4 linked regions of the Neodiprion lecontei genome follow. The protein of the gene in region 2 purifies or fractionates together with the protein of the main gene of each other region. This does not show direct contact. Links are inferred from orthologs where the notes say so. Each region holds a gene or a part of one and is shown on either strand. Other genes may lie near its edges. The genes, in order: CD2 antigen cytoplasmic tail-binding protein 2 homolog, probable ATP-dependent RNA helicase DDX23, U4/U6.U5 tri-snRNP-associated protein 1 and U5 small nuclear ribonucleoprotein 40 kDa protein.

Evidence for each region.
Region 1: the proteins of probable ATP-dependent RNA helicase DDX23 (region 2) and CD2 antigen cytoplasmic tail-binding protein 2 homolog purify together in Homo sapiens (affinity purification with mass spectrometry; 6 studies listed by BioGRID and IntAct, counting the BioPlex papers as one, with this or other methods). This does not show direct contact. The link is inferred for Neodiprion lecontei from reciprocal best matches to the Homo sapiens genes DDX23 and CD2BP2.
Region 3: the proteins of probable ATP-dependent RNA helicase DDX23 (region 2) and U4/U6.U5 tri-snRNP-associated protein 1 purify together in Homo sapiens (affinity purification with mass spectrometry; 3 studies listed by BioGRID and IntAct, counting the BioPlex papers as one, with this or other methods). This does not show direct contact. The link is inferred for Neodiprion lecontei from reciprocal best matches to the Homo sapiens genes DDX23 and SART1.
Region 4: the proteins of probable ATP-dependent RNA helicase DDX23 (region 2) and U5 small nuclear ribonucleoprotein 40 kDa protein purify together in Homo sapiens (affinity purification with mass spectrometry; 3 studies listed by BioGRID and IntAct, counting the BioPlex papers as one, with this or other methods). This does not show direct contact. The link is inferred for Neodiprion lecontei from reciprocal best matches to the Homo sapiens genes DDX23 and SNRNP40.

The regions. Positions count from the first base shown.
Region 1 is NC_060264.1:18,405,311-18,414,423, reverse strand, and holds CD2 antigen cytoplasmic tail-binding protein 2 homolog, read left to right. Parts: upstream 1-2,441; 5' UTR 2,442-2,997; coding exon 2,998-3,154; intron 3,155-3,705; coding exon 3,706-3,869; intron 3,870-4,450; coding exon 4,451-4,631; intron 4,632-5,930; coding exon 5,931-6,115; intron 6,116-7,085; coding exon 7,086-7,203; intron 7,204-7,980; coding exon 7,981-8,237; 3' UTR 8,238-8,317; downstream 8,318-9,113. Other genes in the region: RCC1-like G exchanging factor-like protein, read right to left, coding at 490-750, 1,336-1,444. UniProt on the Homo sapiens protein: Involved in pre-mRNA splicing as component of the U5 snRNP complex that is involved in spliceosome assembly.
Region 2 is NC_060263.1:14,775,956-14,784,563, forward strand, and holds probable ATP-dependent RNA helicase DDX23, read left to right. Parts: upstream 1-2,805; intron 2,806-3,341; coding exon of another isoform or gene 3,342-3,682; exon of another isoform or gene 3,683-3,785; intron 3,786-3,941; exon of another isoform or gene 3,942-4,103; intron 4,104-4,293; 5' UTR 4,294-4,308; coding exon 4,309-4,940; intron 4,941-5,044; coding exon 5,045-5,377; intron 5,378-5,471; coding exon 5,472-5,894; intron 5,895-6,032; coding exon 6,033-6,159; intron 6,160-6,251; coding exon 6,252-6,375; intron 6,376-6,453; coding exon 6,454-6,569; intron 6,570-6,684; coding exon 6,685-6,945; intron 6,946-7,029; coding exon 7,030-7,204; intron 7,205-7,287; coding exon 7,288-7,511; 3' UTR 7,512-7,621; downstream 7,622-8,608. Other genes in the region: uncharacterized protein LOC107221402, read right to left, coding at 1-1,426, 1,564-1,706, 1,847-2,057, 2,241-2,433, 2,551-2,805, 3,342-3,682. UniProt on the Homo sapiens protein: Involved in pre-mRNA splicing and its phosphorylated form (by SRPK2) is required for spliceosomal B complex formation.
Region 3 is NC_060262.1:28,400,073-28,409,189, reverse strand, and holds U4/U6.U5 tri-snRNP-associated protein 1, read left to right. Parts: upstream 1-2,827; 5' UTR 2,828-2,913; coding exon 2,914-3,076; intron 3,077-3,411; coding exon 3,412-3,863; intron 3,864-4,144; coding exon 4,145-4,273; intron 4,274-4,445; coding exon 4,446-4,865; intron 4,866-5,091; coding exon 5,092-5,254; intron 5,255-5,332; coding exon 5,333-5,607; intron 5,608-5,690; coding exon 5,691-5,778; intron 5,779-5,899; coding exon 5,900-6,098; intron 6,099-6,296; coding exon 6,297-6,483; intron 6,484-6,736; coding exon 6,737-6,891; intron 6,892-7,131; coding exon 7,132-7,159; 3' UTR 7,160-8,968; downstream 8,969-9,117. UniProt on the Homo sapiens protein: Plays a role in mRNA splicing as a component of the U4/U6-U5 tri-snRNP, one of the building blocks of the spliceosome. May also bind to DNA.
Region 4 is NC_060260.1:29,793,897-29,799,085, forward strand, and holds U5 small nuclear ribonucleoprotein 40 kDa protein, read left to right. Parts: upstream 1-2,378; 5' UTR 2,379-2,494; coding exon 2,495-2,608; intron 2,609-2,695; coding exon 2,696-2,825; intron 2,826-2,922; coding exon 2,923-3,236; intron 3,237-3,638; coding exon 3,639-3,911; intron 3,912-3,997; coding exon 3,998-4,163; intron 4,164-4,222; coding exon 4,223-4,275; 3' UTR 4,276-4,368; downstream 4,369-5,189. Other genes in the region: dihydrolipoyllysine-residue acetyltransferase component of pyruvate dehydrogenase complex, mitochondrial, read left to right, coding at 1-271, 495-874, 1,037-1,336, 1,443-1,572; serine/threonine-protein kinase RIO3, read left to right, coding at 5,097-5,189. UniProt on the Homo sapiens protein: Required for pre-mRNA splicing as component of the activated spliceosome. Component of the U5 small nuclear ribonucleoprotein (snRNP) complex and the U4/U6-U5 tri-snRNP complex, building blocks of the spliceosome.

The sequences.
Region 1 (9,113 bases), on a different chromosome or scaffold from region 2:
ACAGGCAGTGCTGAAAATTCAAAGACGAAGGTTCAATTTGAAATTGTGGAATTCATTTGTTTTTACCATTTGACTTGAGTCCTACAGCTTTTTCAAATGAAAGGTAAAAGAGAGGTGTGGAATGTTTAAATAAATCCGATTTTCAACTCCTAACCATTGGCTACTACTTGTAGAATCAAGTTACTGTTTATGATAAATGCCATCGAAAATATAACGCAGAATGTAGATTGATAGTTACCCACGTATACAATCAGTTTAATATTTTTGTCCCAAATTTTTATTCATATTGCACAAATGCGTGCACGTGCCATGTTGCAGATATCCCTCTTTTACAGCATCTGGGTTAGAAGTTGTGTACAAAGATGCAACTTCCAATTATACAATATTACGTTATCTGGTCGATATTAAATTTTAACCAACTTATGGAATCTACTAAATGATATATCTAACATTTATTGAATTTATATTTTCATCTTCACGTTCATTTACCCAATTGAGAATCTGTGTTAATTCCATTTCCCCAAAGGATGTTTCCATCTTTCGAGTCAACGGCAAAGACCGTAAACCCATAACCAGATTCGATATCTATCACTCGATGCTGTTCTGCAAATCGAAGTCTGTTCGGTTTGTGATAAAATAAGAACTTCTTGCGCTTCGCGATCGGCGGTTGAAGTCCCAAGGCTCCATGACCAGCAAGGCCCCAAACGTACACCCTGCGGTCGCTACTCTGACTTACTGGATATTGAAATACTGCAATGCAAAATTACAGAAAAATTTTCAGCATTATTTATATTAAGACATTAGATGTCTAAGAAATATTTTTTTTGCTCCCACCTGAAAAACTAGAAACATCCTTTTGTGAAAATAATTTATTATAAGTTGTATGTATCAGATAGGGGCAAAAAAAACTTACTCTCGAAGAAACCACTACAATTTGTGTACTACAAATGGTCCGAATTTTAACATTACGCAGAGTTTATTAGAACAATTAAATGACTGCGATAAAGATATGCTAAAGCGACGTGAAAGAGATTGGAGTGAATTTAGCCTGCATTGTGTAATGGCAAGATTTTCGGGAATTCTCATGTCTTATTTCTGTTTACACAGTACAATACGAAACAACTTGTTAATAACGCAGTCAGTACCAATCACTCTTAGAGGATTGATATCATGTAACGTAAAATTCAGGGTACTTTTTAAGTGTCATCGGTGTTATTTTCGTGAAATCGAAGTAACTCCAGTGGAGTCACTGTATCAGGCAAATACACATCGCCAATGTTGTTATTCATTATGTCACATTTGTTTACGGTAAAAAATCCCTAGAGTGATCGTTACCTGGCAATTCGTTTGGTGGTGGGTTTGGAGATTTTGTATTCGTTGCTGTCAATTTTTGGCGGACTTTTGGAGAAGATAATTTTGAATAATTTCTGACTAGCTTAAACATTATTTAAACTTTTGTAGCAATATTTGAAACGTGCCGTACTAATTATGGCATAGTTGAGTAAGCGACTGTTTTGCACGGTTGTCTGTTGTTTGAGGTTAGAGTTTCATCTGCGGTAACACCGGTAACACTTAATCACGGAGCAGTCGGCAGGAGACGACACTGAAGCACCGTTCGGCTCAAACGTTGGACTAGTTTTGCGGCAACGTAACTTGTATGAGGAATAGTCACGTTGCGATTGAAGCGCCTCTTGCGGGGTAAGCCCGTATAGCGCTCTCCCCCCCCCCCCCCGCCCCGTCCGGTATCTTATAATTCGCCGTTTGCCACCTTTTCTTCAGATTCAAATGTCAGTTGGAAAAGTAATTACTCAGTTTTCATTCACTTCAAATGCGTATTTTACGAATTTACGGAGTATGTTTGTAGCACGGATGTTCACAGGTTACGATCGCCACCCTTCACTTTTTACATTTTCCTATATTTTAGGCATTTTGATTGGTTACCTCTGAACCATGATCCGTGCCGCGGTGCCTAACCTTAGAGCATATAGACATAGAGGATGCATCGACGCTAAAGAAAGGTCCCCGAGCCAGTGAGCGAGAGAGATGTCGTAATGCTACATGCGCTCTCTTTCTACAGCAAGAGCGTACCTATCGTAATTGAGTGCCTCGAGCATTGCGTTGAAATAATCCAGATTATATAAATACATATTATACATTGGTGCCTGGTAGGTCAGGTTATTGAAACAAACAGTCAATAATATCAATGTTTAGCATATTTTTAAATGCAACGATACAATTTATAAATGTGGAATGGGCATTTTCGCCGAAGTCTGATAGAAACGCGACGATTCAACGGCTTGATTTAGTAACAGGTACATTTGGGGACAATAAGACCGTGTAGACGGCTAATTTTTTAAACTTGACAGTTATGTTGGCAACACAGAGAACCCTTGCAGCGCCATTACTACTTCTCTCTCTATACCATTTTACGCTTGCACGAAAGGGTATACTAGACTTCCTCCATAAAATGTGAATTCACCCTAAGGAGATAGCCAATTCGGACGGTCTTGCGCTCAAGGGTGCGTTCCGAAATTAGCTCTCAGCGCTAAAAACTCGGTAGCGCAAAAGAGATAAAAGATTGTTGACGCACTGGGAGTAAATTATCGAAACGCATCCAAGCTGTATGCTGCACGTGAAAAACCAGCGTATATCTGGCAGTCGTTGTCGGACTACGTGATTCTTAGTTAATGAAAGAATGTTGTGGGTGTTTGGAATTTTTTTCGTTTACTCACTTCACATGATTCAGAAGTTGTAATATTGTGCGAGAGATGGTCAACAATAAGTATAGATGAACAATTCAACAATATCCGTTCTTCTGCGTGACTGAACGTCCGGATGAAAACATTGTCACCATCATAACACGCTTGAACATTATTCTTATATCATCCACCACTATCTCATAGTTGAAACTAACCGCATCAAAGCAATTGACAACTTTGCAAAGTCTTATGATTTATTGAATAACATCAATCGTTAGGAAAACTTTGAAAGAATAACATGTCTAAGCGTAAGCTCGAGGATGTACTGAGTGAAGACTGGAAGGATAGTAGGGCGAAAACAGAACCGACCGTCAAGAATTCTTTAGACTCTGATGAGGAGGACGAAGAAGCCAATGAGGATAATTACAATGTCATGAATGAGGATGACTTTGAAGGTGCGCAACATTGCCATTAGTTTACGAATCGCATCCAATAATTCTATTTAGTTTAATAGTTCAATAGACTTTAATGTTAAGGAATATCCTAGAATAGGATTCAAAAATATGATACAAATGATGATAAATTGTGTCTGAATTCCTCTCTATAATATGCGAGATTAAAGTTAGTAACTTTAATGCAATGAAAAGTTAGAAAAAAAAAACAAATATAGCAACTTTGAAACAACTTTGAATGAGTCAAGTTTACAAAACACGAGCTTCACACTGGCGTCGTTAAGGTTTATATAATTTGGAGCAATGCTAATGTTGTAATTCAACAAAGTTTCTTACAAAATGCATCGTCACAATAATGTGATGAACTTCAAATTTGTAATATTTGTTTAGAATCTTTTGATGAATGTTCTGATCAAAGTCTTTCAGCAGGGCCACTTTTCCAGTTTTTCTCTCATATTGTCTATTTCATTCAAATTAAGTAGTAATAATAATTATATACGATTCTTTTCTAAATCTTTGAAATTCGTGTTCACTTGAAATCTTTTATTATAAAGGAACGGAAGACGATCCCGTAGCAGCAGAGACAGATGTAGGCTTCACAGCATTCAATATGAAGGAGGAATTGGAAGAGGGACACTTTGATAAGGATGGTCATTACCTCTGGAACAAGGAAAAGCAGATCAGAGACAATTGGCTTGACAACATTGACTGGGTTCAGGTTGTTAACACTGCTCAAAAATCAAATTCCGCTACTAATGTATTTATTTTGTTAAAAATACTCTATTCTACTCGACTATTATACAATGAGATTTTTACGAAAATATCTTAAGTTGGAAAATTAATACAAGTTTCGAATTCATTAATTTTTTAGAAAATTCGTAATCTTACAACGGAACTTTTGAAACTGTGAACTGTAATAAAGCTAGTTGTACTCGTATTTTGCAATGATTCTAAATTTTTTAATGTTATTAACTTCAATCTTATGCAAAATTTAAGTTTTATGTTTGGCTTTGTTACGGTTCATCAAATTTCAGACAATGTTAATGGTGCGAAATACCGATATCGAAAATAGTGACAAACTATAGCATCATGGAAACTCTTCTTTTTATTTGTGACTGCAAAATCAAAAACTTTATAAGGGAAATAGAAAGCCAAAAATGAAACGGATCTTTCAATTATACTTTCATAGTTCTGTGTGAAACGCATAATCATGGCAATAATAACAACAACTAGTTTGTTAATAATGTAAGCTCTGATAATAATAAAAATAAAAACAATAATGCCTAAATTGGGTTACAGATTAAATCTGGGGGACGCGAAGGTACAAGCAATAAAACAAGTGACAAAATCAAAGGATTGGCGGACAGCGATAGCGAGGATGATGAACAAGAAGTAATGTTTGACAGCGTGCCATTGTACAAAAAAATTCTCGAGTATTTGCGTCCTGGGGAAACTGTATCAAAAGCACTTCGCAGACTAGGTAAAAACTAATTGATCAGCGTTTGATAATATAATTTTTTGCATTCAAGGGTTTATTGAATATTGTTTTGACAAATTTTTTTTAGTGTTTCTAGTAAAATCATTGTGGGATAAAACAAACCCCCCCCCCCCAAATCTCTCCACCCACCTAATAAAATGAATTAAAATGATAAACTAACTCGATGGACAAAAGAGCTTAGCTTTTTTGCAGTAGGTATGACCAGGTGATAGTACTTCCAGCCCTCTACAACTTAGTTTAGTTCGTTAGATGTTTAAAGAGAGAAGACAGTGTAGCGATGGCCACTAAGCTAAATATAATCGATGTATCGATTAATCGAGTCCAAAAAAATAATTGAATAAGGCTCGATGGAATCGGTAAAAATTAATCGATTAATCGATTATCTCGAAGTTTGCTGAAACGGTGTATGTGAAACCAAAATTCCGTAAATTTCAGTATATAGTCTTATAGCTATAATAGCGGAAAAGTTTTTTCAGAACTTATAGTTTCATTAAAAATATTTTTCAATTTAAGGTGAAAATATTCATTTATTTTTCACCTATTATATCAAATAGGTACCTACTAAGTAAGACAATGATAATAATTCATACTTTAATCAGATAAATTAATATCATATTGCATCATTCATGGAAGTAAAAAACAAAAACTGATTGTGAGGATAAATAACTGAGTTGGTCGCTAATCAAGTTTGCGATGATACTTGATAATCGGGATACAACAATCGATTTAATACACAATCAATTATTTTTGGTCATTTTTAAGACGGTGGCAAATTGTCATGCTAGACAAATGTCGGAAGTAGTGAACAATATTGAGGAGGAAAAGGAAACGCATGAAAAAAAATTATTTAAACAAACAAGTAAATTACTTCACAATGTATTATGTCTAAATAAGTAGCAGTAAATTATAATGAATTGAAAGTGAAAAGTCACGTATCAAATTCGAGAAAAATTTGTAGAGAATTCAAAGCTTATGGATTTCTTCGAAGTACGGCCCACCATCGTTTTCTAATCAAAAGTAGAGAAGTATTCAAACAAATTGTGTCGCATCCCCGTCGAATAGTTGGATTTTATTTCCAAATTATAATACAAATTGATTTCACCTATTTTTCGGATTCACAAGATATATACCTGGTTGTTGTCAAAGTTTTGATTCAACACATTTCATGATAACAAATACAGTAGGCATTTCTCGTTATGATTTTACCTAAAAGTTGCTGTTTTGATGCAACTGACAGTTCTTCGTGCAGTATATTCACCTATGATTTTCCATGATATTTAGGCAAAGGAAACAAAAGAATGACCACTGCAGAACGATGGAAAAAGAAAAAAGAAGCACAAGCCGGTATAGAAACTAATGAAAATGCTGAAAAAATAACACAGTTAACAGAGTTTGCAAACGAACTTTTGACACGGACCGGTAACATGGATATATACGAGGAAAGTTATGAACAAATTAAAAAAAAGGTATGCACTGTTTTTATAAGTATCCTCAGTAAGTTTGATTACTTAACATGTAACTGTATTTATTGCATTGAGAAAACACTGCATGTAAGCCATTCTATACCATCTTGACTTTTTAACGTATTACATTCTTTAGCACAAAATAATTATACCATTTGGATCTCTAACTAAAACATTTGCCGTCGCAAAAACCGATGTATTCATCATTTTGACGAATTGCAACAGGGAAACAATATAGAAACCCCTAAAAGTTGACAAAAATTAATTAAAAAGTTAGTATCCTAAATTTCCCAAAAACCATGTTTCTTTTCTACTGAAAATTCCAAAGAACACTCGATTTGGTCTAAGAAAATATGTGTAATTTTCGTCATGGGTTCAGATTTAGTTTGAAAGTTATGAATTTTTTTTTTTCCTTCATAATTATAAAAAGTATTGTATCACGTTATGTTGTCATCAAGTCATACGAAACAGCTCTGAAATATAGGTATTAAATTATTATATTGAACATTTTTATTATATACTATATACGTAATATTTATATTACAATAATCATAATTTATACAGATAATAGTAGTAATAAAAGTAAGTTCAAACTAATTTCAACTCCATGCTGAACTTTGCACTTGTTTATTTACACTACATAGGAGTATCCTTCGAAATTTAAATGGGTGTCAGGTTTCGAGAAATGCAAGAAACTTATGTTCATTTTACCAAGTTTTGTAAACTTGTAGGGTTTTTCATATTTTTTTTGCATGTTATAATTTTCAAATTCATTCAAAACAGCTTGTTATTTTCTTCAGAATTCTGTCGATCGCTGGTCGAATTGGTATGAAATGCTTGATTTGTACAAGACACATGTGTGAAGTTAGACTCGAAATTGTTCTTATCCCCATTGAGTTTTTGGAGTAAAATTCAATACTCATCCTCGCGACGTACGTTTTCGTAATTTATATAATTTTTTGGGACACTGCAGATTGAGACGAGTGGGAAACAGGCTCATCCATCGAAACAGGAAGCGGAATTGGATATGTACTCCGACGATTTTGATGTTAAAGAAAAAGCCAAGCTTGACGAAAATGCAGCTCCTGGTGGTAAGTTCTCATTGAGTTATGTGTAACAGTGCCAATTATTACATTTATTCAATATAAGTAAATATCGAAAATCGATCCTAAACGAGAATATCAAAATGCTAGACATAGATTCAATATTTATAAATTATTTAAAGTAATTCTCAGTTAATTTAATTCGATTGTTTTACAATTACCGTTGAATTAACTGCATTTGCAAGCTCATTTCAATTTGAAGATAGAATAGTGTAATATACACTAATTGTGAGCAAGTATTTGAGGTCATGCATCTTTCTGTGGCAAGATTTGTAAACCTTTGGGCGGTAATTAGGCGTAAATTATAAGTATAATATTCCAACAGGTATTTTTTACCTCACGATACGAAATTTTGTTTTCATTTCAAACAGATCTGATGAAAGTATAATTGTATTATGATATTCCACGTTTCTTTAAGGAAAAAAAATTACCCCTGAGAATTGTTCTATTCGAGACAACATCAGAATTAAGATTTCAAAAAGTATTCCTGAAAATTAGTATGTAAATTATAGACGAGGTTGAAGTTAATAACGTTAATGTAACGAATCATTTAAACAAAAATCAGTTTTTGATAATTATAGAATAGTTTTGGGGGATTTAGATTTTCAAAAAAAGACTATGTATTACTTTATCGTGGTTTGATGAAATTCGTATAATCCTTAAATTCGGAATACCTAGCATTTTTTTTCCAATTTGTATTGCTACATTAACTTTACGAACTTCCACCCCATAATTACAGATTCTAATGAATGATTATTTTTGAAGATTCGTCGGCGATGGAAGTTGAGAAATCAAAAGCGAGTTCGACAGAAGTTAAGCAGGATCTTGAAGAAGACATGGTAACATGGGAGCTGAAGTGGTCGCAGAATGAAACAGCTGAGGTTCACGGACCTCACTCAACGGAGCAAATGCAAGCTTGGTCCAAGGAGGGATATTTTAAATCTGGTGCTTGGGTACGACGAACTGGTCAACAAGGGCAATTTTACAGTGCAGCGAGGGTCGACTTTGAATTATATTTATAGTATGGAACGCTTGTGACTTGATAAGTGAAGTATAATTTGCAGGGAAGTAGAAAGAGAAAATAAAAAAACGATTTACCTAATGCTGCTTTTGATATTATTCAGAATCCGATAAATATGAAGTGATATGAAATGTACGCATATCGTACGATATCCATTTACGGCATTGTTAACTAAACAACATTTTTTTCTGTTTCAAATCGCCAGCAGTGTTTGTTGAATTTTTTATCCCATAATTATTCGCAATTTAAAAATAAGCTAAATACGTGGTTTACGCAAGTGATACTGTGCTTCGGTTATTAATAGAATAAAAATTTAAACTTAAAAAATTGACAGACAGTACATATTAAAACGCAAGATATCTGCCAATATCTCTGCAATTGAACAGATTATTATTTCTGCTTATACATTTTCTTTCACTGTCACAGAAAAGCTTAGCATTATCATGTAAATTTTTCGAATCAGAAGAAAAAAACATCAAAAACAGTAAAAACTATCCAATCTTGATTTCCAGTTGAAAAAAATCTGTGTATTTAACTTAAAAAATTCTGAGTGAACTCGTCCGAAATTGTTGGTTGTAACTTCGAACACCGTTTGTGCTGCCACAAAAGTTCGTGAAATCTAAATTGAAATTTTATACCTAAAATATTTTAAGCAGATTATATATAGGCAGATTATGTAACATTAGAAAACTTAAAAAAATGTAGTAAAGTAAGGTATTACCATTTCGAAAGTTGCTAACTAGTTGCTTAAGGCTAACTTTTACAGTGTTGCGATAACCATTTTAGTCTTTAGAAAAATGTTGTCGGCTCTATGGTAAACATTCCAATGAATATCTATTGACAAACTGATATATAAACATTAATATAAAACATGTGT
Region 2 (8,608 bases):
GCCTGGTTATTTCTGTAGGCACGACAAATATGTCGTTTCTGTTCGTGTAAGGCGTGCTGCAAGACATCGACCTAGAGAACGGTTTCTGGGAGGTACGGGATCTGGAGACATTCGATTGAACGTTACTCCGCGAACGAGGAACGGGTGTGTTTCTAGGAGAGACAAAGGGACTTCCATTGGCGGAGTTGGGCTTGGAAGCACGTCCGTTGATCGGGGATAAAGGACCAGGGGAAATTGGGGTGAAGTTGAATATCCTCCGGCGCGTGTTTGGACTTTGAGGGACCGTCGAAACCTGACTGCTATGATCTTGGAAGTGCTCCACCACGTTCGTTTCAAAACTTACTCGACGCCTGGTACCCGATTGGCTCGGATAGTTGAGGAGCGAAGACAATATTGCGTTGGGTTTGGACGCGATGCCAGCCTTTTCCAATGCCAAGTTTATTCCTGGACTAAGAACGGTGACGGGATCTTCCGCTGTTGAATGTCCAGTCGCGTTTACTTTCAAATTTTGCTGGAGGATTAATCGTAACTGGGATACTTTGTCGGATCTTGATACAAGATCGACATCTGTCGATAAGCTGTTCACTTCTGTGTCAGAGCTGGAGGAGCTGCTCTGTTGAAAATACTGTAAAAGCTCTTCTTCCTGCTCTTGAGAGTTATTTCCTCCGTTTAAATAGTCGTCCAGAGCGTCGGAGTCAAGGGTGCAGGTTTTGCTCGTTTTATTCGTAGTTTTGGAACTCTCTTGCGATTGCTGAGGCTGTTTGTTAGCTATTGTCGAGACGTCGGTTATATCAGAGACATTCTGGCAACCGTTCAGCTTGGCGCAATTGTTAGACCGATTAGAAGATTGGATATCACAGTTTTCCTCAGGCTGATTAAAAGTGGCCTGTATCACTTTGAATTTTGTCAATTTTACGCTGTTTGCAGACACTGCCGATTTTCTACCACCAGTCCTCTGAATCGACGCAAGTCTTGGCAGCGGGTTGTTATTCACCGTTTGTACGGTATCCGGTGAGTTTAATAATTTTGGCTGTTTTTCTACAACTGATTCAGATTTCATAGATCCTACGTTCAAATTGGCACGCTTCCGAGGATTTCTTATTTTAGGGTCTTTAGACGATATTGCTGTACTAGTAACAACCGCCTTCGTCTCGTTGTTACGAGACGCGACTTCGCTCGTTTTTACCACTATATTATCACAGTTAGATTGCAGGGAGATGCTGTTGCACGCGTAGTTGTTGCTAGTTGATTTAAGAACCTTTTTGTGCCGACTCGTCGTTACAACAGATAAATTACACTTGGTTGGTATGGTTCGCACCGCTAACGGACCTCCTCCTGTACCTTGTAATGACTGACTCGCTTTATTCTTCTTGCTGCCCTTTCCCCCCCCTCCCTTAATATCTACAGTCTTCTCTTTGTTCTGATTCTGAAATACAGTTGAAAATTATTTTTGCTATCGGCAAAACACTTGCACTAAACTTAGACATATCAACATTCGGAATTATTTCTTGCATTGTCGAGGTCGGAAAATTAGTGGATAGCATTATTATCAGTTCACATTACCTGCGTAATTGCGTCATGATTACGAAGTTTTTGCTCCCTTATATGCTCACGGAGCTGCAATTTGCGTTGTAGCTGCAACTGGGCTTCCCTAAGTTTTCCCGGTTTTTCACTGCTCAGTATTGTTGGTGATGGTGACGGAGCTTCTATCAAATTGAAACGAGTTTACATGAATTTGTAAAATTGGGATTTCTGATGCTTTCTTGCTTCAAATGTGTTTCAAAGAAGAGAACGCTATTCGCGATGCTTAAACGACATTAGGATCGCTAGATAGTTCTTGACTAACCTTTGTTACCTACAGTCTGGGGATCTGAGGCAGCGCACAAAATGCATACCGCGGCCAGTGACCGTGTGTCTACGCAAAGATTGTTCACCAAATGCCGAGCTAAAGCACTGAGCGAAGGGAACTTCAAGCCAAGTAAACTTTCCGCCCATTCCCTTATCAGCGTTGAAGCAGCACCGAGCATCTCTTCAGTGATCTCATCTTCCTCGTCGATCTATGTGAAACACATGGGTGGTGTTAGTGAACTTTGAAGACGGTAGAACTAATACATATGAAATTGCGACTAATACGGTGATTCTGGGACGCTTTCTGTAATGTTATACTTTTGTTTTTTTTTTTTTTTTTTTAAAAGTAAAACATTGTCCAAATCTGTGTCTATAATATGTAGCTAATTCACCGGTTGTTCTCCGGTTATAGGAGGCAGCATCGGCGGATCCAGTTTAATCTTCTTCCTCATTCCTGCGTAACAGTAGCGAGAGTTACCGCGTGTTCCGAGGCGCCGCGGCCTAACTCGGGGGTAAACTTGTTTCATCACTTTTCCAAAGTCAGCAGTGGACAGAGGCTTCATAGAATTCTTTATGCAGAACATGCTAAAATAAGAGGTAGTGCGGATCAGTTTATTTCAGCTTATTCTTTGTATTTACCAGTACTTTGAATAAAAATTAGGGCTTAACTGCACTCCAAAACATATTCAACTAAGGACCCACTTGTACTCGTCGTAAACTTCTTGCTTAGGTAAAGAGACGTCTGGATCTTCTTCAAGATGAGTTTTTATCCACATTATGGTCTGGTGAATTTCATAGCGGTTTCCTAGAGGATTTAAAGGCTGTCTCAAAGGATCCACGTTCTCACCAGACTTGGTCAACGAAGCTGGTAATTTCAAGTACAACAGGAGCTTTTCTTCTATCCGCAATTGTTCTACTTGTAAGTAAATTCCTTGTACTCTACATTTCGAGTCGTCACTGTTGAATAGATAAAGGAGTAAGTTTTTTGCTAACACATGCAACACAACAAATAATTTTTCCAATGCATTATATACATATACCTATACATATATCACTGAATACTGTACATAATTGTATACATAAAGTTGCTTCATGAATCGCGATTTTTTTTTCACAGTAAGAGTTAATTAAAAAAGTAAATAATATAGGTTAAAAATATTATAAAAATGCGTTTCACGGGTCAAAATATTGATAAGTGATATGAAAATCGTCTGTAAGAGGAGAACGTAATGACAGTGGGCAATGATAAAATTATTCAATTGAGTAAATAATCTGCTGTAACAAATCGAAATTTGTCAAAGAATCGGGATTAGGGTGAACAAAAGATGGAAATACCGATTGATCGATAAAGCAAGATTATGCCGGGAAATGCATAAGTATATGTACATACACCGCCAAACAGCGTTGATAAAAATTACGGAAAATATAAGTGACACCGGCATAAGTGGGGAGTGAATGAAAAGAAATATTTGAAATGTTCGAATGAAACTGACCTGATGGCATCTTCTAGCATTTGTTTAATTTTATCATGTTTATCGACGGGACTGGGGGCGATGCTTGTCATTTTCCCGGCGAGAATATCTTTGACGAGTTCACCGGCTTGATGAGGACCATTGTTAACGCACAAGGACGATGTATTGTTGTAGCTGAATATTCTGTTCTGTTGAGAGCCACTACTGTCACCGATCGGCGGCTGCCCCCCATTGTCACTGTAAACGTCAGGTCTTTCTCGTTTTATTTTCTTACTGCCGATCAAGCTATCATCTATTATATTTACAGATTTCGAGCTTTTTAATGCCGGCTGTTGTACTTGACCATGGCTATCAACGTTCATTGTTCCTTACGCGGCAATATATACAATTTGATCACCTCTCGTTAACCGAGAATGCCCTACCATTTTGTCACAGTCAGCTGCGATTTACTGCTAACTTTAACCCGTGATCGTTCGTTTCCTCCACCCGAGAGGAGACTCGCCTCTGGATAACCGTCCATTCTCGCATACCGCTCTATGCAACATTTTGTGCTCTATGGATATATTTCGATAGGTAAACGTAATCCTTAGAGCGTATACTACTCTAAAATCGGATTCGACTTCTTTCTACAATTTTTTATTCTGTGTTCCAGGACGTCGAGAAAACGTTGTTCCATTTATTCGTTGAATAGGTTAAATATTAATTATACAGTTTCACGATGGACTAAAGAAAGTTGTTTCATGCGCGATAACTGTCTCTGTTGACTCGAACCTAAGGAACAAGGTATTTTTTTCAAAAATTCTTCACGATTCAAAGTAAAATTAATGCGTATCTGCACAGCCAAGCGGCAATGGTGACAGTAGACAGATTATGAAGAATTCTCTTCTTTTCACTTGTTGAGCAAATATACATGTAAAACAAACTCGGCCAACGATAATATTGTCTTCGTTATTGTGTTTTAAAATTCTCTCAGGGTTACTTCTCTGCCATGGTTCACGAGAAAAAACCTGTCAGGCGGAGTAGATCCAGAGAAAGGGATAGAGAACGCGAGAGAGAACGTGAGCGACGAGAAACGAGGGAGCGACGGAGATCGAGAAGCCGATCCAAGGATCGGAAGAAGGACAGGAAGCGTTCAAAGTCTCGAGAACGTTCACGCGAGCGAGACAGATCTCGGGAGAGAGATTTAGACAGAACGAGAGAACGAGAGCGGTCCAGGGAGAGAGAGAAGTCGAGGGAACGTAAAGATGGTAAGGATCGAGGTAAAGATGAGAAAAAACATAAACTCAGTCCAATGTTTTCTGTGGAAGATGATGCTAGAAGGGAGAGCAGAAGTGATGTTAAAAAAAGTGACGATGAAACAGAGGAAAAACCAAAGTTGCCCGCCAAGGCTGAGCCCCTCAGCTTGGAGGAATTGCTGGCAAAAAAAAAGGCTGCAGAAGAAGCAAGAGCTAAGCCCAAGTTTTTGAGTAAAGAAGAACGTGCTGCACTAGCTCTGAAAAAAAGACAGGAGGAAGTTGATTCCATCAGGAAACGACAGGAAGAAGAAAGGAAAAATGCTTTTAAAAATGATGGGCCTAGCACTGGCAAAGACAGGGACCGTGAATGGGATGATCGAGACAAGTAAAAAGAGCTTCAGAGTTGTTTTATTTCGGTAGATGGTGAATTGCATTAAACTGAGTTATGTTACGATATTCAGTATGATTTCTAATATAAATAATTTTCAGGCGTAGAGAGGCAGCGCGATCCAGAGACGACGAGGTCAAAGACAAAGACAAAGAAAAGGAGGTAGAGGCAATCAAAGAACGCTACTTGGGATTAATTAAAAAGAAGCGTAGAGTGAGAAGGTTAAACGATCGAAAGTTTGTGTTTGATTGGGACATTTCCGAGGATACTTCGGTGGATTATAATAACATATACAAGGAACGACACCAGGTGCAATTTTTTGGTCGTGGAAATCTTGCTGGAATTGATATAAAGGCACAGAAGCGAGATCAAAGTAAATTCTATGGTGAATTGTTGGAAAAAAGACGTACTGATGCTGAAAAGGAACAAGAAAAGTAAGATGCTAGTGGTATTATACTTATAGAACTTACAAAGTAGTTAATTTTTTTAATATAAAAATGAATAATTCACTTATTTGCCCCCATTAAGAATGCGGCTGAAGAAAGTTAAGAAGAAGGAAGAGAAACAAAAATGGGATGATCGTCACTGGTCTGAGAAATCAATTGAGGAAATGACAGAGAGAGATTGGCGAATATTTCGTGAAGACTATAATATAACAATAAAAGGTGGCCGCATTCCTGATCCCATACGATCTTGGAAAGAGTCTGGTTTTCCTAAAGAAATTTTGGATATTATTGATAAAGTTGGCTATAAAGACCTAACGCCAATTCAAAGACAGGCTATTCCTATTGGGCTACAAAATCGAGACATTATTGGTGTTGCGGAAACTGGTTCTGGTAAAACGTTGGCTTTCCTAATTCCCCTGCTCCTTTGGATTACAAGCCTTCCGAAAATTGAGAGACTTGAAGAAGCCGACCAAGGACCTTACAGCATAATTCTAGCCCCGACTCGGTGAGTTAAACAAAAGAGCAAATGATATTTTTCAACAATACTTTTTGATGATAAATATTTTTGCACGGCAAGTTAAGTGGATTGATGACTGTTGTTACATTATTCGTGAATATGATTCAACTTGTATCAATCCCATAGTGAATTGGCCCAGCAGATTGAAGAGGAAACTAACAAATTTGGACAACCCCTTGGCATCAGGGTTGTTGTTGTTGTTGGTGGTCTATCAAGAGAAGAGCAAGGGTTCAGATTACGAATGGGTTGTGAGGTACGATGAAATAAGACATTTGCGCGTTTATGCAAATGAAAGTTAATTTTTAACTTATAATTAACTCATTTTTTGATATTAAACTGTTTCAGATAGTCATCGCTACCCCTGGTAGATTGATAGATGTCCTGGAGAATCGATATTTGGTTTTGAATCAGTGCACATATATTGTTCTCGACGAAGCTGATAGAATGATAGACATGGGATTTGAACCAGGTGAGCAACACTTTGCTCTTCTTAGCTCTCAGAGAAATATAAAACACATACTTACCTTGCCTTCTTTGTCCCGCTCAGACGTTCAAAAGATCCTGGAATACATGCCGGTGACAAATTTGAAACCAGACAACGAAGATGCTGAGAATGAAGAAAAATTGTTGGCCAATTACAATACTAAGAAAAAATACCGACAGGTGGGTGGCGAATATCTTTTAAGTCCCTTCCTATGATAATAAATAGAATCTGTTTTCTGGATTTTTATTTGTCATGGAAAAAAAATAGTACATCACAAAAATTTTAATTTTTCAGACTGTGATGTTCACGGCTACAATGCCCGCAGCTGTTGAACGACTTGCCAGAACATATCTCAGGAGACCTGCTGTCGTCTATATCGGCAGCGTTGGAAAACCAACGGAAAGAACAGAGCAAATAGTTCATATAATGGGAGAGGCAGACAAGAGAAGAAAGCTAATGGAAATACTGAGCCGTGGTGTCGAGCCGCCTGTTATTATATTCGTAAACCAAAAGAAGGGTGCCGACGTTTTGGCAAGAGGACTTGAGAAACTTGGGGTAAGACTCTGGAAACTCATACTACATGTGTAAGGAAAATTGTCCAATAGAATGCTTTCATTATTAAATATTTTTTATTCACAGTACAATGCCTGCACTTTGCATGGTGGCAAAGGTCAGGAACAAAGAGAATACGCCCTCGCATCTCTCAAAGGTGGTAGCAAGGATATTTTGGTTGCCACGGATGTTGCTGGTCGTGGTATCGACATCAAAGATGTATCAATGGTTATAAATTACGACATGGCTAAAACTATCGAAGGTAAATTATTCTGGAATTTTAAATCCTTCCGATGAGAATTCCAAAATTTTAACATCGTTAATGGCTTCTCATTTTTTCATCAGATTACACTCATCGTATCGGTAGAACCGGACGTGCGGGAAAAGCCGGTCTTGCTATATCTTTCTGCACAAAGGACGACAGCCACTTGTTCTACGATTTAAAACAGACTATTCTGGGCAGTCCTATCTCTACGTGCCCACCGGAATTACTCAACCATCCCGACGCCCAGCATAAGCCTGGTACTGTGGTCACCAAGAAGAGGCGGGAAGAGAAGATATTTGCATAAATGTATTGCGTTTCCTTCTTTAATGTTTACAATTCGATTCAATCTTTTACATGTGATTGAGTCCGTCGATAATATTTTACAATAAATTTCATGTGTACATTTGCAATAGATATAATGTATGTGATATATATGTAGATATTTCGGCGTATTCGTTTGAAGTTATATTGGTTCACGAGACTAGTTTCCATACGTCATGCTCCGTATTCCAATTATATCCATAAAAAGTGATTAAACAAATTTGAATTTTTCCGCGTATCAACCGCCATCAAGTTAAAAAAAAGTTGCCCAACTACAATAAAGCTACATACCCATTGGTTGAACCCATTTTTTAAATCTCTTCGCCGTGAATCCGGTAGGTAATTAACAATTTGCTAGCGATCAATCGACGGCATGCAACGGACAAGCATCCTTGACCAGAAACAAGCTCGATGCATTTCTGATTCTATATTTATCCCTTCTAAAAATCTCGGCGCTAAAATCCAACTCCTCCCTCCAATATGCAACAATGGCAAACATACGATACTCATCCTTCGATCGTTACGAATGGAGAATAATTTTAAAGTTCATGAACGGGCGTAATACTGTAAAAAAAAAAGAAAGAAATTGTTGTCACAGAGCCAACGGCCTGTTTTTCTGTGGTTCTTTTTTTGGCATACATACGTTCACACGAATTAAATAATATATAGATATAACCTGACTAGGATTACGTAGCCTTCAGGAAATAACCTGGAGGGGGGCAGAAGCGTCCTAAATATAAATTGTACGAACGGAAAATATTGTTGTTCGCGACAATCGTGAAACGTGCATTTTGGAGGGGGAAGGCTTTTCGTTATACTCCGCGATACTCTGGTGCGAGTGAATTTCTCAACGCGTGCGCGGTGCGGTACCAAGTGCTAACAATTTCGATATACATTATAGGTATAGTGCAAAGAAGCCGGAGGTAGTTGGTTAGCCATTCATTTGATGGTCTAGAGCCGACTCAACAGTTCCGCGACATCAGGACGAGCGTAACAAATATTATAATCCTAACGCCACACTCGTGCCACCAGTCGCAGAAAATCCTACATCCTTGGGTGGGGTAAAGGGCATAACACGTA
Region 3 (9,117 bases), on a different chromosome or scaffold from region 2:
TCAATTTTTTGACGAATAACAAAGTTTTCAAGTTTCACAGCGCCTTTGCGCGTGGACTTGATACTTTTCAGTTGTCACAGAAAGCGCGGCATTTGATAACCGGCGCTCATCGCGCAGAAACGAAAATATCGATAGTGTATACTAATAGTGGAGAATCTTGACGTGAGCATTTATGAAATATATCTGAAATGTACTTCTGTTTACTCGTTTAACGGATCGTATTATTTTCTGTTTCAGGGCAAAAAAACTAATTTTTTAACAAATACACCGAGAACTATAGAATGATCAGTCGAAAAAGATATTCACTGTGATAACTGAAAGTAGAAAGAGATGTCGATTTAAAAAATTTAGAATGTTTTTTATTCATCAATAAAATTAATGATCGAAGCAACAAATATTAACATGAATATCACGTTGGATCGACCCATTTTTTGTCAGTGTATAAACTTATGTGATTGTGCTAACCATATCTTCATCTGTTTCAGCTAATCAAATCTTTTGTCTATTTCAGCTAACTAAACTTTTTGTCTATTTCAGCTAATCAAACTTTTTGTTTGTTTCAGTTAACAAACCTTTTGTCTGTTTCAGCTAATCAAACCTTTTGTCTGTTTTAGATAATCCAATTTTCTGTATCTTTCAGAAAATCAAACCTTTTGTCTATTTCAGCTAATCAAACTTTTTGTCCGTTTCAGCTAAGCAAACATTTTGTCCGTTTCAGCTAATCAAACGTTTTGTCTATTACAGCCAATCAAACCTTTTGTCTGTTTCAGCTAATCAAACTTTCTGTCTCTTTCAGCTAATCAAATGTTTTGTCTGTTTCAGCTAATCAAACCTTTTGCCTGTTTTAGCTAATCAAATTTTCCGTCTTTCAGCTGATCAAACTTTTGTCTCTTTCAGCTAATGAAACCTTTTGTTTGTTTCAGCTAATGAAACCTTTTGTCTGTTTCAGCTAATCAACCTTTCTGTCTCTTTCAGCAAATCAAACTTTTTGTCTATTTCAGCTAATCAAACTTTTTTCCTATTTCAGCTAATCAAACCTTTTGTCTATTTCAGCTAATCAAACCTTTTGTCCGTTTCAGCTAATCAAACTTTCTGTCTCTTTCAGCTAATCAAATGTTTTGTCTGTTTCAGATAATCAGACTTTCTGTCTCTTTCAGCTAATCAAACTTTTGTCGGGTTCAGTTAATCAAACCTTTTGTCTGTTTCGACTAATTAAACTGTCCTTTTTTCGTTAATTCTATTTTAATCTGTTCTAGGTAACTGAGTTTTATTGATACAAAAATAAGATACAAACAATCGCCCTTCATCCATAATTAAAACAACCATCTTTCATCCATAATTAAAACAGTCATCTTTCATCCATAATAAATAGTTAACGGGTCATATGAACTGAAAAGTTTCGAACAAACTGCAAACATATGCGAGTACCAATTGATTGGGAAAATCATTTAACCGTAATTAACGTATGAAAAAAGTAATTTGAAATTTTTCGAAGAACGTAAGATCGATCTTGCAAGTATTCTCCGTGGAGTAGGCCTACTGGGGATACCACGTAAAAAAAAAACGCGCCGGGTGCTCTACCGCTTGCGGTGGTGTGGAAACGAGCATAAGTGAACTCATTTTCACTCGTCAAATACTAAGATATTATAGTTTTTCAAATGAAAATTTTATCTTGTGTTAATTTAACTCATTGTCAATAAAACTCGTGCTTCGATAATGTGTAACGCGTGTGGAATCGTAATACTTTCGGATTTCTCTAGTTTAGTCAGAGTACTAACCGGGTACTAAAAATAACAAAAAGAACTATATTCACATTTTGTATGTTCGAGATACGGGTGATCTGTCTAAAAGCCCCATTGTAAAAGATGGAATGCAGAGTAAGAAATTAACTCCCGTCTTCGCTTTTGGATGTGTATTGTAGAAAATTATTTAAAAATTTTTATGACAAATTTGTATACCCGCTTGATTTCTAGACCACTTAACTGAATCTACTGTTAAATATTTTTTTCAACAAATTATTACATTCACATATATAAAAAGAAAGGCATCTTAGACTCAATTAAAAAGAACAAGAGAAATGTTTTGTCACATTATACATATAAATTTATTTAAAGGAAGTGATTCGTCAAGAACGCAATTCACAAATCAGTTGGAATAAAAAATATGACTTATTGAGTGGGAAAAATTTTTGATATGTCAGCTGCATCTTCTTTTGGAATAAAGATATGAGCCTTGACTGAAGATACATATTATTATCTTCAGTTAAACGTATAAGTCAAGTATTAAAAATATGTACAGAAATTACATAAGGTACATATAGGAACAAATATATATCTCCATCCTTTGATTAACTTCTTCGACTATATCTCCCATCCTTCGCATCAAGAAAAGGTTTCTAACTTTGTTAACAGTAAATCAGGTGCATGTTTATTGTGCGCCTATTTAGATGACATCAATTTTGTCGATCCGATGGAGTTAAATTGACATTGCCGAATTTGGCCTAAATGAATTTGCGTAGTTGAAAAGTATACGGCGTCCATACGGAGTTATATGAAAATATCAGTTTGTTCCCGTTCGTCATTCCATAGGTATAAGAATATTTCACTGCATTATCTGCGTACACGCGGTGAGCGATGGTAACATCAGTTCGTTTCGCCGCTACTTATCAACCGCTTGCCAGATTGAGTCGCGCGTGTAGGCGGGAAAACTTAAAACTAGCTACTCGCCTTCTACATGCTCTAAGGTCACCTTGGCCAGCCACTGATTTTACGAACACATCAGTGGAACACGTAATTTCTGTTGTATGTATCTCATGATCACGGAGTAGTTCGTGATCGTGATAAAGTCTATTCAACACAAGACGAAGTTCGACGTTCAGTTAAATTTATAGGTTAAAGTGTTAAGATTAAAGAAATGGGATCTAATAAGCGGCACAAGACTGAAAAAACTCGTGAAACTAAGAAAAAACGTCATCGCAGCCGTTCTAGATCGCACTCTATAGAACGTGAAAAAGTCGACAAACATAGGCATCACAAAAAACATAAAAGAAGAGAACGCAAGGATCACGACAGCGATGGTACTAACCTCTTTTAGTTTTTTCCTTCGTAAACGTAACTATTATCCTACACCTTTAAAGGTAACAAACCTTCACCAAAACACCTACACATGCATAGATTTAAAACTGATTGTTCAAAGCTACCCTAAAACCGTAATAGTTCTCATATATTTTTTACAATGTAATGTTCGTGCTATGTACTTCAGAGGACTACTAATCCAAGTCTATTAGTAAAAATTATTGCGCTATTGAGTTGAATTAGCGCTTACTTTTATATTGTATAGTTGCAAATTTAATGTACATTTATACTACTTAATAATATCGTGTATTAAGAAACTATCCTCTTGTGTTTATAGTTGAAATTGTCAGCGCTCCACCACCTCCAAAAATATCGAGAATACCACATGCACTGACGCCACCACCTCCTCCAGAAATATCTCGTCAAAGGAGTGCATCTCCAACCAAAGGAGGAGCAGCGCAGACATCATTGTCAGTTGAAGAAACAAATAAGTTACGAGCAAAGCTTGGTCTAAAACCTTTAGAGACCAGTACTACCTCTGTAGATGATCCTAACAAAATCAAAGATGATTTAGGAGAATTTTATCACAAGCCAGCACCAAATACTAGCGATAAAGTAAAAACGCAAAAGATCAAAGATAGACTGAACACGCAGAAGGAAAAACGACAGATTGAATCCAATCTTTCAAAACTCAAAACTTTGGGCGAAAGCGATTCAGATGATGACGCCAAGGCTTGGGTGCAAAAAAACCGTCTCCTTCAGTTGGAGAAAAAGAAGGCTGATGAAAGGGTAAATACAGAATACTTGACCTAAAGCTTAAAGGCATTATTTCAATTTATGCCAGCACCGTCAAGTTTAAAATTAAAATACTTATGAAATAATGCTGTAATAATTAATTTGCATTTGATGTTATTAGTATTTTATGTTATATTTTTAAATAATCTTAATGCTTGAAGTAGAGCCAACCACTCTTGTATTATATTAATAATGTGTATTTGAAAACTTTCATGTAAGAAAGTCAAGCACGATCATCTATCCATTTAAAGACTATTTCTAATTTCATTATTCAGGCAAAAATGTTGGATCAGTTGGACGAAGAGTTCGGTATAGGTACTCTTGTTGAGGAAGAGGTTCAAAGTGAACGTCGTTCAGCCTACTCGAACAAAGATTTACGAGGGCTCAAAGTCGAACATGACATGGTAAGTTTGATATATTCTGTCGAATTGAAAAATCTTTACTGTAATTAGGATTTATTATGGGTTTCAAATGTAGCAGTTGTAAATTTAATATAGTCATGTTCCATGAAATATTGCATTTATTTTGTTAATAACATGTAATGATTAAATCGAAATTTAATTATTTTTGTTACAGGATACTTTTGAGGAGGGCAAGACCCTTGTACTGACACTCAAAGATCAGGCAGTTTTAGATGAGCATGAAGATGTACTAGTAAACGTAAATATGCTGGACGAAGAGCGTTATTCGCGCAGTAATTTGAATAAAACTAAAAAACCTGGGTACGATGCGTATGATGAAGACAATTTTGATGAGTTTGGATTCCCAGTGAAAACGGTTCTAGACAAATATGATGAAGAGATAGATGGACAGAAGAAGGAAAGTTTTGCCATTGGTTATGATAATGCTAAAGAACGAAAACAACGACAAACTGAAATTGTAAAACACCGCCTAGCGAACAAAAAATTGGAAACACTAAGGATGCCAGAGCTACAGTTAGCTAGTGAATATTACACTGATGCAGAGTTGGCAAAGTTTAAGAAACCCAAGAAAAAAGTAAGATAGTATTCAACGTCTAAACCTTTTGTCGCAACTTATTCTAACAATTTAGTCAGTTCTATATAATTTTTCGTTTTAAAATCATGGTAAATAGGAAAAAATAGATCATGTGACTTGATACTGAAATAAAGCAATAGATTAATGGAACTTAATATAAAAATAAAATTATCTGAACATTTTATTTAGTGTTTAGAGTATGGTTTATATTAATTGCAACTTTTAGATCCGAAAAATCAGACAGAAAAAGATGTTGAAGGCAGACGATCTTGTTCCTGATACAACTGATTATCTCAGAGATTTAGGAAGTCGAAGGAATTCAAGACATAAAGAAAAAAAGGATCATGAGGATCCTGAAAATCTTGTTATGGATGTCGATGATACAGAAAGTAAATTTATTTTTCAACAATATAATCCCTACTTCCTTTAATTTAATTTACATCAATTACATTTTCCTTGGAATTTAGATACAAGTGAAGACTTGTCGGGTGTTAAAATTGAAGATGATGACAGAGAACTCGAATGGCAGTTGGCATTGAAAAAAGCACAACGTGTGAAACTAGCACGTCAAACTGGGGTAGAAAAAGTTGCTCAAACAATAAAACAAGAAATTGACAATTCAAATGACAATCAAGTTGGTAATATTGTACTCAATGCGACTGCTGAATTTTGTAGAACATTAGGAGACATTCCAACTTACGGGCTTGCTGGAAACAGGGAAGAAAATGTTCAAGAACTCATGGTAACGTGTTTCTAGTAATTATTTATCTACTCAAAATCTTTCAATGCATAACAAGTATTGCAACAGTTCATCATGTTGATCAGGACTTTGAGGCTGAGGGGATCAAAGATGAAACGGTAGATGATGGAGAAGATGCTGATGGCCGTGGAGCTTGGAATACAGTAAAAATAGGTAAAAATGCATTTACTTGACTAACGTTCTACTTCCTTTCCTGATAATTGTTTAATTATGAACTATCTTTATGCCTTATCAGTATTTCAATAAAATCTCAAAATTTACCCATACCTCAAAGATGAAGCTGCAGCTGAGCCAATAACACTGGAGGCTGCAATTTTGGATGCAGAACCATCGCTTGGACAGGGTGTAGGCGGTGCTCTAAGACTTGCAATGAGTAAAGGTTATTTACAAAAAGAGGATACTAACAGACCTTCTGCATCCCGTTTTGCTCATTTACAGGCACAAAATTATTCTATTGAAGATAAAACTTATGGGTAAGTACTATATTTGATATTATAATACATTCGAATTTTCTCAAAGATAAAAAAATAAAACAATAATCATTATTTTAAACCAATATACTATTATTTTCAGTTTTTTTTCTTTTCTTTGTACACTTTTACCCATTTAATTTGTTTTGAATGTAACTGTTTTCAGAAGATTCTGATCAATTAATTATTTTATAAATGCAGGGATGATGACAAGTTTGGCAGAAGAGATAGGTTTAATGGACCAACTTCCGAATTCAAAGAACGAGACGGATTTAAGCCCAATGTCAAGTTGGAATATATCGACGATGATGGACACGTTTTGAGTGCCAAGGAAGCATTCCGATATCTTTCTCATAAATTTCATGGTAAAGGTCCTGGGAAGAACAAGGTATATTGAAAAATATTTTAATCTATTTATGTAGAACAATGCATGCTAATGATATTAAGCTTTATAAATTTATAATAGGAAATGTCAATTCAGAATTTCATTTATAATAGTTACTATTTTGTAGCGCTGCAATAAATCTGCTATTTACCCGATTTTGAATGCAATGCGTAATATAATTATATATGTATATTCTGATCATTGATGAATCAATGATAATTTCATGCCATGAATTGTTAATACTTTTTATAACTAGGTGGAAAAGAGAATGAAGAAATCTGAGCAAGAAGTATTGATGAAGCGGATGTCTTCTACTGATACTCCACTAGGTACACTTAATCTATTGCAAGCTAAGCAAAAAGAAACACAATCTCCATACATTGTGCTGAGTGGCAGCAAGCAGTTGCAAACGTAAGTTTTACACAATATGCTATTCATGGGAAATAACTTGGTTAATACAATTTTATATTGCGTGAAAAGTTTCGGTACATTCCAATAGTTGATGTGTGATAGAAAATTCTTCCTCCAATAACTTGGTGTAGGTAATAATTTCAATGCATCATATTATGATATGTTGTGCACAAAGATACTCACTTAGAATCTGAAGGCATGGATAAACTGGTGGTAATGTGCTCATATAACGATTTTCAGGACGAGCATATCAAAGACGAAGCATTAAAATTATCAATTAAAAGATGGAAAATCAAGATGTACATTATTATACATAATGTAATATTAAATCTCTGATAAGGTTTGCGTAAGGGTGAGTGTTCTAAAGCTCAGTTCTCAGGTATCTTTAGAATATTACATAAATCAGCAGATCCTATTAAAAAAATTTTGATCATCTTTATAATACAAAACCCGTTTTTATCCTTGTATTATTTACAATTTCATATGTTTAAATGTGTGTATAATTCCATTGTTTAGACGCTTACAATTACCTTTAACACCGTAATGAGGTGTCACAATATCATGATACAATTATTAAAGTTCATAAATTAATTTCGGTAGATAATGAGTTCTCTACCGAAACTAGGAGAATTTATTGTTTGCATTACAGTGTCAAATCAATTATTCAATTGAAACCGTAATAATTTATTCTTAGGAAATAAGAAATTTGAAAAGTATGAACTGGAATCTTCTAAATAATGAAAACTGATTCACTATAGCAATACAAATATTCGAAGCATAAACTGATGATTAGGAAATTTTGAGAGAAAATGTACGAAGAAGTAAACTAAAACAAATAGTAAAAGTGTAAAAAAAAGAATAATAAAATTAGTGACCCAAAATTTAGGATGTTCATTTACTTTTTGGTCGCAAAATTTATACTTCAACTCTATGTCCAAAAATTCCGCCTCGTGGAAAAAGTGATATCTTCCGAAAATCGTATATTCTGTTTGCTACACATATATCAGAAATGCTTGAATTTTAAGTATATATTAATAAATGTCATTTAAAACAATTTAGGTGCAAGGAATTTTAGTTATTACTTTGCAGATTACAAGCAATCAATAGACCTGATCACCTTCATTTTATTTCACTTTGCATGCATGTATATGTAAAACTCGAATGAAACCTTTTTCAATAATAAATAAACGACTTACCTGAATACATAGTTGATTTTACACATGCCGACGTTGAAATTTATCGTTAACTTGGACTTTCATCCGACTTTGTATGTCATTACCAGACTCTCGAATTATGTTATTAAGAAAATTATACATTGAATCACAGTGAAGAATACAACGTTTTGATTAATGTTCACATTTATTAAAACTATAACAAATACTTATAAAGGTTTCTTACTAGCTACACTGCATTGTATGATTGATTGTAGCCTTCTACATAAAATCGTTACCCTAGTTGTTATCACTATTTACACGAGATATGTTTGCAAAAACTTCGGAGTATAAAAAAGTCGGACTTTTCGGGATGGGAAATATCTGAATGTTATTTTTGCATATGTAAAACCGTCACATATATCTAATGTAGATAGTGATTAGCAATGGATCTACAAAATTTATGCTAATGAATAACAATTATGAAGCATACGTTCATTAATGTTAGCATTAAAGCTTTATTTGTGCATCTCGATCGATTATACGCATTTGTGATTCAAAAGCTATTCAAAACGGATGTCTGCAGTTACAGACACGTTCATTTTGCCTAAAAATGTAAAAGATTATACAAACTGGTCTAGGGATTTGGTAGAAGCGGTTTTTATAATTTGGTTTGAAAAAAAAAAGCTAAAAGTAAAATTGGGTTTCTTATGTTTCAAAGTCCATTTGTGTGTATACACTGGCATTGTTCATTAGTTGGTTGATTATTAGCTATAAAAAAATCATTGGCACTCAAAATTTACAGAGCACAGTTCAGATGTTGAGTTGTAATAAGATTGTGCAGTATAGAATTCCACTTCACAGTCTGTGTTATTGTCGTGTCGGTCATAAATCTTCCTTATCCTCTCATAGTGGCACATATTGTAGGATATTGGCAAAAACTGCACATCTCAAATGATCACAAACAACTTTTTCAATAGTTAGCAAAATTCTATGTTCTTCACAGATTTTATAACAGCATACAGAAAATTATCACGTATTTGAATCCCATTGATTGACTCCAATTTTATGGTGA
Region 4 (5,189 bases), on a different chromosome or scaffold from region 2:
CCAACTTGTTTGTATCATTGTTTCCGATGAGGCGAGCGTTGCGGCTTTCAAAAACTATAAAGCTGATGGAGCAACAGCTGCTCCAGCAGCATCAGCCTCGCCTCCGGCTCCAGCAGCTCCGGCTTCAACTGCCCCAGCAGCGGCTGTTCCAGCCCCAACTCCGACTCCAGCTCCAGCTGCTACAGCAACCCCTACATCTATGTCTGGTGACAGGGTCTTTGCAAGTCCGTTAGCTAGGCGGCTTGCAGGTGAAAAGGGGCTCAGTTTACAAGTAAGTGAAATATTATTGATCGACTTGTCAAGATATGAGATCGACAAATTGAAGAGGTGAAAAAATAGATTTATCAAACTGTAGTAATAGTTTTGTTGCTTAGAAACAAAGAATTTTTTTCTAATATGTAGGATATTAGTGAAGAAGAAATGTTTAGTAACAGCTCTTCTGAATCTCAGGATACTTTTAGTTTCGAAGGTAATGGATTTTCTGTCTCAAATAGGGTCTCAAGGGTTCAGGATTATACGCTTCAGTGACTTCCAAAGACCTTGCAGGTGCTTCTGCTGCAGCTCCCTCTTCGTCTGTTGGCGCGCCAACTTCAGCACCTGCAGCTGGAGGTGTATACACAGATATTCCAGTGTCAAATATCCGAGGGGTAATAGCAAAACGATTGCTTGAAAGCAAACAGAATATTCCACACTATTATTTGACAGTTGACATTAAGATGGACGCTGCCTTACAAATGAGGGAACAATTCAACAAAATGTTAGAAAAAGAGCAAGTGAAACTTAGCGTAAATGACATCATCATCAAAGGCATCGCAATGGCTTCGAAAAAAGTTCCTGATGGCAACACTGCTTGGCTTGGGGATGTCATTAGACAGTGAGTTCTCATAATGATATGAAAAGTAATTTATAATTGAACGGGAGTGATCGCAGAATGAAATAAGTAGTGTTTCGTACCAATTGTATACCAAAACAATGAATTTCCTAACCTAGGCATCTCAACTAAATTAATATTACATTTTCTTTTCCTCCTCTTCAGGTATCACAATGTGGATGTAAGCGTCGCTGTAAGTACAGACAATGGTCTTATCACTCCGATTGTATTCGCAGCTGACACAAAGGGTATTGTACAAATCAGCAAAGAAGTGAAAGCGTTGGCAGCAAAGGCGAGAGATGGGAAGCTACAGCCTAACGAATTCCAAGGTGGAACGATTACTGTATCAAACTTAGGAATGTTCGGTATTAAAACCTTCTCCGCAATCATAAATCCACCACAGTCCATCATTCTGGCTGTTGGTACGACCGAATCTCGATTGATTCCAGCGAAAAACGAAAAAGGGTAAACTAAGAAATCTCCTAATAGTACCTAAACTAGTCTTATTAGACTTATTTTCAGTTAATCGAGCACTTTTTTCCATCATATTGTTACTGTTCAAATTTCACAGATTCGAAACTGCAAACTTCATGAGCGTTACAGCCAGCTGTGATCATCGCACTGTGGATGGAGCGGTTGGAGCTCAATGGCTCACAGCATTCAAAAGTTTCATGGAAAATCCAACGACGATGCTCCTATAAAGAATCAATGTGCTGAGAAATTACACTCATCAATTCTACAAGCCTACTTTAGATCATCCCTAAGAGCCATCATGGGGTATGCGACAAGTGGATTGTCCTGTGTACATTTTTTGTGGATAATAACATTTAATTGATTTTGCGGATCACTTAAGTAGCACCAATTTTATAACATAATTTTCCAGCTTGCAACACTGTAGATTACTTTGCGTGTAAAATAAGTTTGCTTCGCGATAAGTATATACCTATGTTACATACGTATGTATGTACTATTCCGTAGATTTGAAAATGTACAAAAGAATACACAAACTGAGTTATATTTGCCGTCGTTAAATGTACTCGTTCAACTGTTGAACGCATCTACGAACGTATGTATAGCGCGATAAAAATGTTATTTCCTATTATTTATATAGATCAAATCAGTTTAGTATCCTCAGGTAACTGATACAGAATAAACATGTACATACTTGATGTTGCCAATCTTTTCGTCCTCTTAATACGGTAAATGTTGGCACTGCGATGATAATGTTTAAAACATTAAAATCTAAATAGATGAAAATTAATGCTACTGTGCAAAGTAAATAGATATTTAAGTAATCTAAGTATTTAATAAATTATACAATATCAATACTTGCCTTATTTTTTACTTGTTCAACTACTAATATCGTCCTGATGTCAGCGATTCATAACAAAAACAATCGTGTGTACCAATCATCGGTGCGTCACATAGAAAAACAACGGAAGACCTCGCATCAGTAAGTAAAGCACAACCCATACTGACCGGCTGTTGCACAGATGTCAGCGTACCACCCAATTCGCAATCACAAAACGCTAGTGTCTTTTTACTTTGGGATGATATACGCACAGTTCGGCTGCTCGCTGGTTTGTTGTTTGTGAACAGACATTTGACAATTTTACAATAACAATGCCAATCTTAGACAAGAGAAAAGGTGATGAGATTCTAGCATTGGTGCCAGCTTCGAAAAGGACGAAAAATGAAGTGGTTTTCAGCAGTAGAGAAAAGGCGGTGATCCAAAGTGTAAATATAACCTCACTTATATTTCTCTGAGAGACGAATTGAGACACTTTTATTACTTGGAACTAAATCGGATAATTCTTATCACAGGGCCCTCCCAGAACTTCATCACTTATGGCGCCGATTATGCTCCTTGAAGGACACCAAGGAGATATTTTCTCTGTTGAGTTTCATCCGGAGGGTCAATACCTCGCATCGACGGGTTTTGACAGACAAATATGTGAGTAAATACTATGCAACATGTTTCAATATTGCATGTCGGATAAACTCTAATATATATTCAATTATTATATTATAAAACTGCCCCATGATAACAGTTATATGGAACGTCTATGGCGAATGTGAGAACATTGCTGTAATGTCGGGCCATAGCGGCGCAGTGATGGAAATGCACTTCAGCCCAGATGGCAGTAACTTGTACACTGCAAGCACAGATATGACCCTGGGACTCTGGGATCTCGGATCTGGATACAGAATAAAGAAACTCAAAGGACACACATCGTTTGTTAATTCTATATCCGGAGCTCGGAGAGGACCTACACAACTTTGTTCTGGCAGTGATGATAGCACTATTCGTGTCTGGGATCCAAGAAAAAGGGGCCAGTGTCAGACTCTTAATAATACCTACCAGGTATGCATTGTGTCTTGTATATCAGATAAGACGTGGATACGGTTTTATCAATGAATTTTAAATCAGTCAGAAATTCATCAGATGGATCACAGAAGCTAAAAGCTCTTCCAATCAAATGCCAAGTATAGAAAGAAATCGATAACCCAAATATTAGTGATATTTCCATCGAACCTACAGTAGTTTTATAGAGTTTTAGATACATAATAATCGTGATTTATCCACACATTGAGTTTAGAGTGCCATCTCAGGAGTAGAGACAGACAACATTCATTACTGTTGCTATAGATCGATTACACAAATAATATGCATAAAACCATTTGTACAATGTTCTTAAATTTTTACTTTCTCTCCTTACTCTGATCTGTATACGTCTCAGAGTTATTTTTACTTTTGTATGTATAGGTAACTGCTGTGACATTCAATGATACAGCGGAACAAGTCATCAGCGGGGGTATTGACAACGACATTAAAGTTTGGGACTTACGAAAAAACGCAGTGCTCTATAGATTGAAGGGTCACACAGATACGGTTACTGGTTTGAGCCTGAGTCCAGATGGTTCTTACATATTATCGAATTCAATGGACAACACCCTTAAAATATGGGACGTCCGTCCTTTTGGACCCTATGAAAGATGTGTAAAAATTTTATCCGGCCATCAGCATAATTTCGAGAAGGTGAAGTTAAACCACATAGCATTTTTTCATTTTCTTTTTATGCAATTGTCCAATTTTCGTAATGTTGATTGAACAATGCTTTGCAGAACCTTCTGAGGTGTGCATGGTCACCAGATGGCAGCAAAGTGTCTTCAGGATCGTCAGATAGATTTCACTATATCTGGGACACGACAAGCCGACGTATCCTTTACAAGCTCCCTGGTCATAATGGATCAATTAACGATGTTGATTTTCATCCAAAAGAACCAATCGGTAAGTAAAAGCAATTCATCTTGTGCAGGCGGGAGTCTAATATAATTCTCATGTTTCAGTTGTTTCCGGCTCCAGTGACAAACAGATATACCTTGGAGAAATTGAAGGCTGAATACTGCCCTTGAGATTCTAAACATTACTTTTAAGGAGATACGATATGATTTTCCAAACTTCATTGTCAATAAATCAGTACCTTGTATTTCAATTATGACGTTTTTTTCTTTCTAGCTGTTCTAAAACACCGAATCTCACCATATTAACACGTTCAAAACTATTTCATCTGTCCGGAAATTTATGAGTAAAAGATTTTTGTAATACCTCAAATCATGAGAAAAAAATCCAGATTCACTGCAAGGATTAAATACAAAGGCTAAGATTTTCCCGGATATTTCTGTGCCGAAGATGCTCTTCCGTATTTCATCCGGCGAATGAGCATCGTAAAATACGTTCCCACCCACAAGATATTCTGTTTCTACGACAATGACATGTTTGACGTTTGAAAACCGTGGCGCTGGACCTGCCACCTGTGAGGCCTATCCGCGTATTGTTGGAAGCCATTACCAGTGTCAACGCAATAAAAACTTAGTTCACTCCTTGGTTAAAAATCAGTAAGACTACTTGTTCAAATTGTAATATTCGAATTTATTTTGAGGTAAGATTACTTTAACGTAATACAGGATTGTACTCTGTCATAAATAGTATGTAGAAATATGCATAGATCAATTCACCCTCGACAAGGTCTTTCCAACGTATTCTTACAGTATGTATATGTACAATTATGGCGCAATCGATTGACGACTGAATAACATTTTCGAATTGCGTTTGTGTAAGTTAACGCCAACAAAATCACAGTCCACTGATACATCGTTTTGTGTTTCAGTTTATATTATTAATATTTATATCTAATTATAAATTTAAATTATTATCATCAAGATGTCATCACCGTGGGGTAAAATTCAACCACCCGCGACAGCAGTCAGTCTTACTGAAATAATGTCAGAGGAAGTGGCTAAAGACTTACAAGAA